Mus musculus: one gene and its partner. The protein of the gene in region 1 purifies or fractionates together with the protein of each later gene. This does not show direct contact. Links are inferred from orthologs where the notes say so. Each region holds a gene or a part of one and is shown on either strand. Other genes may lie near its edges. The genes, in order: Tmub2 and Rnf185.

The links.
Region 2: the proteins of Tmub2 (region 1) and Rnf185 purify together in Homo sapiens (affinity purification with western blotting; 3 studies listed by BioGRID and IntAct, with this or other methods). This does not show direct contact. The link is inferred for Mus musculus from reciprocal best matches to the Homo sapiens genes TMUB2 and RNF185.

What each region holds. Positions count from the first base shown.
Region 1 is NC_000077.6:102,283,764-102,288,019, forward strand, and holds the start of Tmub2 (transmembrane and ubiquitin-like domain-containing protein 2), read left to right. Parts: upstream 1-1,187; 5' UTR 1,188-1,325; exon of another isoform or gene 1,326-1,900; 5' UTR 1,901-1,920; coding exon 1,921-1,955; intron 1,956-3,544; coding exon 3,545-4,108; intron 4,109-4,256.
Region 2 is NC_000077.6:3,449,948-3,454,276, forward strand, and holds the start of Rnf185 (E3 ubiquitin-protein ligase RNF185), read right to left. Parts: upstream 3,010-4,329; 5' UTR 2,262-3,009; intron 1-2,261. UniProt on the Homo sapiens protein: E3 ubiquitin-protein ligase that regulates selective mitochondrial autophagy by mediating 'Lys-63'-linked polyubiquitination of BNIP1.

The DNA of each region.
Region 1 (4,256 bases):
GATCATCCACTACACTGGTTCTCTGTAAAGTTATTTTTGGTGCTACTTCACAACTGTAATTTTGCTACTCTTATGAATACTAATATAAAATCCGATATGCGACCTCTGAATGAGTCGTTAGACTCAAAGGTTGAGAAAGGCTGCTTGCTCTTCTACATAGTGAATCAACAATCAAACAAAACCAAAAAAAAAAAAAAAAAAAGGAAAAACTAATCCAGGGTGATAGACTTGGAGAGATGGTTCAATGGTTAAGAGCACTTGTTCTTCTTGCCAGAAGACCTGAGTTCTCTCCCCAGCACTCAAGACTGGCGATTTACAACCTCTTGTAACCCTAGCTCATGGAGATCCAATGCCCTCTTCTGGGCTCTGCAAGTACCCACACACGCGGCATACACATAGAAACAAGTAAAAGAAAAAAAATCCTTTCTTAAGAAGGCACTCTATTTGTTTTTTGTTTGTTTGTTTGTTTTTCGAGACAGGGTTTCTCTGTATAGCCCTGGCTGTCCTGGAACTCACTACTTGTAGACCCGGCTGGCCTCGAACTCAGAAATCAGCCTGCCTCTGCCTCCCAAGTGCTGGGATTAAATGCGTGTGCCACCACTGCCCGGCTGAGGGCACTGTATTTGTATCTCTTTAAAATGCCTTCCCGCTTCATTTATTAAAGCTATACGAGGTAGAAATCTTCAAGTACTTAAGACTTTAATTTGTATTCTTGCCCATCTCCTCGAGGAACAACTGTCTTAGAAGTCAAAAATAGCAGACTTTACCGCTCCCAACCTTGGAGCCTGGTGTGCATTGGCGAAGCAGTAATGAATCTCATTAGCTCTGGAGCTAGAGAACCAAACCGGAAGGAAAAACCAGGCGGGAAAGAAGGAAACCTAGCGGCGGGTGGACCAGGAGAGCTTGCCAGGGCAATCGTCTAAGCATGAAACCACGCCCCCCACAAACACCTTCCCCCGCCTCTTCTCTTTTGGCCCCGCCTCCGACCTCCAGGAGGTCCGAGGCCACGCCTAATGGGCGTGGTCTTACTGCCGGAGGTCCGAAATCCCGCCAACAATGACTCCTCCCCTTCTGCCGCGGCGCAACCTGGCCCTTTTATTTAAAGATTACGTTTACGTCAGTCCGCCTTACGTAGCTTTGCGTCATCAGTACAAGGCGGGGAGGCGGGACTTCCTGTCCTGGATGTTAACAGCTTCCGAGAAAAGCCGGAAGAGATCGGACCCTGGACAGAATCCTGAGTTGCCAGCCCCTCCCCTGACCCCTACGGAAAGAGAACTACAAAGACTGTCCTGGCGAAGTCAAAACATTTATCCTGGCTTTGTCAGGTGAGGCTTTCCTTCCCCATCGAGGCACAGTAACCATCCAAACCCCCTTTAATCTCCCATGACTCCTCGCGTCCTCAAGCTCCGCCCCCTCTCCTCTGCCCCGCCCCGAAGTTTGAGGGGTGTGGATGGTTTGTGACCCCCCTACCTCCCGACCCTCGCTTCTTCACCTGACCCTAAACCATCACTGTCCCGGAGAGTCGGGCTTGGGCACTGCGACCGAAACCCGGAAGCTCCTCGGCTCGGGGGTGGGGTGGGGGGTGCTGATGGACTCCACTGCCAAGGGAATAGGACCTTTCAGACGCAGAACCTTCACCCCAGAAAAAAGCACGGTCGGGGACGACTCCCCACAGTGCGGTCAGGATCGTCCACAGGCTGAGGAGAAAGCCGAGGCCTTGGTCAGACAGATGCAGGTCCCCTATCTGGCCCCTGCCCGCGGCAGTTCCTTGTGTCCTCCGCTTCCATCTGTCTTTGCCACAGTTTCCTTTTGTGTACATCACGGTTCCTGACACTAACCTGACCAACAGGGGTTAGTTATGGGAGTGAGACGTAATTGCTATCATTTGTTTATTGAACAGTGTTAATTATTTTTGCTTCGATGATTTCACGTCTTCTTCAAAACAACCTTATGAGGTAGGTAACCATTTTAAACCCCACTTTACTGTTGAGAAAGCTGAGGCTTTGAGAACGTTGCTGGACATTGCATAGCTAGAAGAGGGGCTAGACAGTGACCCAGAATCGCTTCCCTGACTCCAGGGCCAATCTGTGTAAATAAGGCTGTGGAAACGCTTCTGAGAGTGTTGGTGTGTTCTACAAATATTCCTTGAGCAGCTACTGTGACATTGCATTAAGAGCTTCAAACAAAGAGAACTACCCTCGGTTCTTATCTTCCAGGAGTCAATGAAGAAATGGACAGGTTATGAGTGTAATGATGTTTTGTGGGTGCTGTGAGAGTAGTCTGATGATGATAATCACCAGATGGATTTGCCCAGAGACAGCTGTGAACGTAGATTCTCCAAGGAAAAGAGACGGTACTCCGAGGAATATGCAGAGAGCCTCCAATGCTTTCTCAGAAGCCGCAGAGAGGGAAAACCTTCATAGCACAAGACAGATTGAAAGAAGGATAGTGGGAACCGTTGGGAAGTATTTCCAAATAATTTCTACTTGGGCAATGGTTTTCTTGAAGCTGTCTCGTGTAGCCTTAGGCAGCCTTGAACTTGCTAAGTAGTGGAGACTTGTCTTGAACCTTGTATCCTTAGTTCCTTTATTTCCCAAGTTCTGGGATAACCAGGGCATGTAGAACAGCGGTTTTGCAGTTATAAAGCCAAGCCTATGGAGACTAAAGCGTGTAGTGTTTCTGGTGACTGTCCTATGTGGCTCCCCAGAATTTGCCAGAACAGTTTAATAGACAAACATGTCTGCTGATAGTCCCAGTACATTTGTCCATTTGAAGTGATCTGATCCTATCCTTGATAGATCAGAGTATATTTATGTATTTGGCTCTTGACATCTGGGCATGAATGGGTGTGTGGGCATGAATGGGTGTGTGGCCATGAATGAGATGTAATCCAAAGGAAATCTGGCAAGGGTGGCCGCACAATGCCCATTAAAGAGTCTTTCTAATCTGAAGCTACCACTGAGGCTGCTGGGTGCATGCAGATGTGCTTGGTCATGTGTTAGGAATCCTAGAGAAACTCCAAGCTTAAAGAAGCAAAATGTAAGCCGGGCAGTGGTGGCCTTTAGGCCCAATACTCCGATAGGGGCAAGTGATTTTGAAGCCAGCCTGGTCTATAGAGCGGTAGTTCCAAGACAGCTAGGGCTACACAGAGAAACCCTGTCTTGAAGAGAAGCAGCAAATGTTCCTTCTCCATTATTCTCCAAATACAAAAACAAACAAGTGAGCAATCAGCAGCTGGTAACAAGGTTATGAGGCTTTTCTGGTGACCCATGCTTCTTATGAGCACAGAATCTGAAAGCTAGAGTTTCACGGTAAAGGCAGAGGGGCCAAGGGTAAGTCAGTCCTTAGCTTGAGATTGAGGGTCTACTACTGTTAGGAAATTGGCTGGCTGCCCTTCCTACACAACACCAAGCCCCCATCCTTTTTTCCTTTTTTTTTTTTTTCTTTTTTTTTTAACCCCAGCCTGCCTCAGAACCTAAACAAAGTAGAAACCTGACTATAAGCCCTCAGGCCCTCCTAATGCTATCCCCCTTTGTTCCTGCAGCGTGGACCCAGTCAGCAGCCAGGCCATGGAGCTCTCTGATGTCACCCTCATTGAGGGTGTGGGTAACGAGGTGATGGTGGTAGCAGGCGTGGTGGCGCTGACTCTAGCCCTGGTCCTAGCCTGGCTCTCCACCTATGTAGCAGACAGTGGTAACAACCAGCTGCTGGGCACCATTGTGTCAGCAGGTGACACGTCTGTTCTCCACCTGGGCCATGTGGACCAGCTGGTAAACCAAGGCACTCCAGAGCCAACCGAACACCCCCATCCATCAGGGGGCAATGATGACAAGGCTGAAGAGACCAGTGACAGTGGGGGAGACGCCACTGGAGAACCTGGAGCTAGGGGAGAGATGGAGCCCAGCCTGGAGCATCTCCTGGACATCCAAGGCCTGCCTAAAAGGCAAGCAGGCCTGGGGAGCAGTCGCCCAGAAGCCCCGCTGGGGTTAGATGATGGCTCCTGCCTCTCTCCCAGCCCCAGCCTCATCAATGTTCGCCTCAAGTTCCTCAATGACACCGAGGAGCTAGCTGTGGCCAGGCCAGAGGACACTGTGGGTACCCTAAAAAGGTGAGTAGGCCGGAGAGAGGCCAGTTGCTCGTGACTTGTTCCTCAGATGATGGTTTCCTGAAGAAGCTGTGCATATATGTGAGCACAGGAGGGATTTTAAGGGGAAATGGAGACTTCCATAGACAGACCTTCAGTGTCTTTCATGTCC
Region 2 (4,329 bases), about 99 Mb from region 1:
AAAAGAAACCCCCAAATTAGTAAGTTTTTAAAAATCCAACAAATTAAGAGCATTTTCCTTACCACCGAGATGACAATAGAGTCTAAGGCCAAACCATCTCGAATGTTAGGTAACAACTGAATGACCATTTCACAACTGTTTTTTTTTTTTAATCTTGAGAAACATAAACAACAGGAAAACAGGCAGGAACTTTTGGTTCAACCCCAACCTTTTGTTTTGTGGAGGAAGTGTCAGCAGAATTGGGTCATAATATGGAATCTTTGCTTCTCCAGACAACATAAGCATTCTTAAGTACTCTAATGGGAGATGGAAAAGTTATCTACTTAGTGTCTGGTAAAGTGCAAAATAAGGAAATCTAAAGTTAGATTACAAAGCTATAGGTATGCAAGTCAGGACCATAAAAGAATTGGTCATATGTGCTGGGCATCCAGAAAGCTAGCTTAAAAACTGCAGACACTCTCACACCTATACACACACTGCTAGACAAAGAATTAAAGTTCAGTTTATAAACCAGAGAGAAGACTGACCCAAACAACTGAATTGGCCTTCCATTCTGTAATCAGAGCCCACTGGCAAGCAAAGCCTTGGGCAAAACAAGCAATCCCAGCATTTGGGAGGCTAAGGCAGGGGGACCAGTTTGAAGTCACCCTGGGCTACATAATAATACTCTGGAAAAGGAAGAGAGGGATGGAGGCAGAGAGGAAGAGAGCAGAGATAGACAGAGAAAAAGACAGAGAGACACAGATAAGACAGACAGAGACTGACTTTCTAAATTGTTCTCAGCCTGAGCTGAATGTCAGAGTGAGACCCCGACTTAAAATAAATTTTAAAAACTTAAATGTAAAACAAAAATTACTAACTGACCAATGTATTAATTTTAGTTAATTAATTTTTATTTCCTGTTTATTAATACAACATATACTTTGGATAATTTTTATCAGATAATGGATCATTCCAAAAAGGATGATGAAAAGAAGGATGACAAATGTGACAACCAGTAAAAGATTACATAAGATCAAGTGTGCTGGCCTTATTGATAGGAGATATAAACTAGGGAGGAGAGTCCAGAAGGGAAGACAAAGAAATGTCACATTCTGTAGGCATAATGGTACTAAGTAACGAGTGATCCTGGCACTCTTTAAGACTGAAACAGCAGGATCCGGGTTCAAGGCCAACTACAAAAGGAGCTTGAGGACAGCCTGAGATCCCTGAGACCCTGTCTCAGACCACAAAAGAAGTATCACATACACTCTGAAGACAGAGTTATCAGTGGAGAGGTAAGAGTCACAATAAATACTAATACGAGCCTTTTAAATTGGAAAGGGCCGCCTCCTGTATACTTCCTTTCCCAAGGAGACAGTCAATCCCCATCAGTCGTCACCTCTGATAATTCTTCCGTTAAATTCTTAATAGTAAGTACACATGTGTCTTCCCCCTAGAACCTACCTATTAATCGTAGCTGTACCTCTTTCAGCTACAAAGATCAAGCAGGAGGCCTCTTTGCCATAACTCCCCCACCCAACCCCCACCCCCACCCCGCGCCAGCTTTTAAAGATAGTTAGTTATTCTCCTCCGGCGTTCTTTCCTAAGCTAGAAGTTTCATAGAATCGAGCCGGCTCCAGCTGCCTCGAATCGAGTACCGCATTCACAGCGGGACCGCACTTCGGATGAGCAGGCTTCAAACACGAGTAGGACTCCAGAGGAGAACGTTCAAAATAAGGTTTCCTAGGATCCAGACCCAGATTCGAAACAAGCTGTGGGAAAAGCCCAGGGCTGGAGAGCCGGCATCCCGGAGGGTTTCGGAGCAGGTGCTGTGGAGGCCCACGCTTTTGAGACAGCTGTGCCCGGTTGTACAGCTGTGGGAACTAGGTTCAGGGAGGTCAAAGACTTGGCCTCGAACGCACAGTGAGCTGCAGGCAGCGAACTCAAGTCCAGGTCTCCTACGCTTCACCCCAAATCTGTTCACCGCATTCCTCATCTTTCCACTCCACCAAATCGCCACCCACGAGAGAGGCGGTCCCGCCCCCGAGGCTACGGGAGTCAGGACGAGCCCCGTCTGGAAGGGGAGCTTGTGCGCACCCTTCTTTCCCTTTTCTGGGGCCTTAGTTTGCCCAATCTGTACCCACGGATGCCAGTCTGACCTTCCTTCTGGGACCTGGACAGAGCCAGACTGGATGACTCCTGGCCCTTGGCTTCAGATCCCTGAGCCTGGGAAGGGGGTCCCATGCCTCCCGGGCCCGCCGTCCCAGCTCGTCACCTACCTGCCGCCGCGGTAGAGCGAGCGCCAGCGACGCCAGCTGTCCGTTCCCCCGTCCCGGAGTAGCCGAGCCAGTCTTAGAGACGCGTCAGTCAGAAAGATTGAACCTCCGACCCCTCCTACCGGGAACTTGGTCACCTGACGCGGAGCCGCCTCTAGTAGAACAACTTCCGGTTCCAGCCGGAAAAGGCTGGTGTGCAGCGCTGCTCTCCGGCCCAGGCGCCCGGCTGGTAAGTTCCGCCCCGGGACAGGAAGGGGAGGGCGTCTGGTCTTTCCGTAGGGTTTCCTAGCGCTGGAAGAGGAGGGAAGGCAGCTCGGTGGATGGGCGAGCTCGCCTCGCCCGCGTGAAGACGTGGGAATAAATATGTGCGTACCCGCCAGCTAATCATAGCATTCATTCGGGTGATGGGTCAGAACTTCAATGTCGTTTTCGAAGCAGGCTTGGGATACATGGGACCGTGTCGCAAAAATAATGGGCGGATGAAAAAGCCAGTTCTAGAAATACCAGTTTGGAATGCCTTGTACAAGAAAGTAAGGTCAGTGGTTGTTCTGTTTTATAAAGAAGAAGAACAGGAGGAGGAGGCATGGGAAGTGGAGTAGGAAAGGGAGTAGAGAATGAGGAGAAGGGAGAGAGGCCGGCCAGGAACGCGTGAAGAGAGAGGGCGGAGGGGGAAGGGGGCAAAGAGTAAGGGAGAGGAGGGGGCGAACAGCCCCTTTTATAGTAAGCCGGGCATACCTCGCTGTTGCCAGGTAACTGTGGGGCGGAGCCTAGAAGGAATGCTAACAGTGGTGATGGATGAGAATGTGCAAAACGACCCAGGAGCTCTCTTGAAGACTCTACTAGCCAAATCTGTGAAATTTCAGTATCAAAATAATAAAGGTAATAAGAGTATAACTAATTGGAGCCCATGAGATGGTTCAGAGGTAAAGATGTTTGCTGCCAAGCCTGTCAACTCTAGTTCAGTCCCCAGAAACCCAGCGGTGGAAGGAAAGGAGTCTGGCAAGTTGTCATCAGACCTTCACATGTATACAGAGACACTTAATAAATACATGGTAATTTATTTTAAAACTAATTAGATGAACTTGTAACCAATGAGGGATTGTTTTTTTTTTACAGTAGCAAGTGCATTTATTATATTTAAAAATAACTAGAAAAATTGGTGTTTTAGCTTTCCATATATAAAAACATGTGAGTCCAGTGCAACAGTGCTCAGTGCAGGTGAGTGATTTTGCTGTGCAGCTCCTACAAAGCTGCATAGCTGTGCTGTTGCAGGGGTGGGGGGAGTGGGGGGTGGAGAGCCGGCACACCTCATTCTGTAGAACAAGAAGGGACTTCCGTCCTGCCTCGGACAAGCAGTAGCAGTAGCATTCCTGTGTGTAAGCTGAGGTAGGGCTGGCACACCGGCCTTGTATCCTGTACTGGATGGCTTTCAGCTTCTGCTTGCCAGTGTGAAAGCCCAAACGCCAGATGGCAGGTGAGCCTGCATCCTCTCCCCAGAGTCCTTGACCTTATCAATCTCTAGCTCCACCTGTGGGGGACCTGAGGGATCGGTCAGAATACTCCTCCTCCTTCTGTTCCTGGAAAAAGTAAGATTCTTTGGGGGGTTCTTAGTATCATTAATACAAGAATTTAGAAGAGACTCAAAGGAAGCTCAGGACAACTTTATTAGAGTTTGAAAAAAGCAATCAAGGCTAGTTGAAAACTCTAACAGCTGCCAGAAGATGGAGAAAAGGTCACACCTTTTAAACTAGGCATGGAATAAAATTAGACAACTTATCAAGAAATGGAAAAGGACAGGTGGTATTGGCGGTGCACACCTTTGATCCCAGCACTTGGGAGGCAGAGGCAGGCAGATCTTTGTGAGTTCCAGGACAGCCTGATCTTCAAAGCAAGTTCAGGACAGCCAGGGCTACACAGAGAAACCCAGCTCAAAAAAACAAAAACAAAAAACAGAGAGTAGGAGGAAGGGAGGGAGAGAGAGGGAGAGAAGAGAGGAAGGAAGGGAGGGAGGTGAAAACGGGCTGGAGAGATGGTTCAGCTGTGAAGACGGGGAACCAGAGGACCCAGGTTT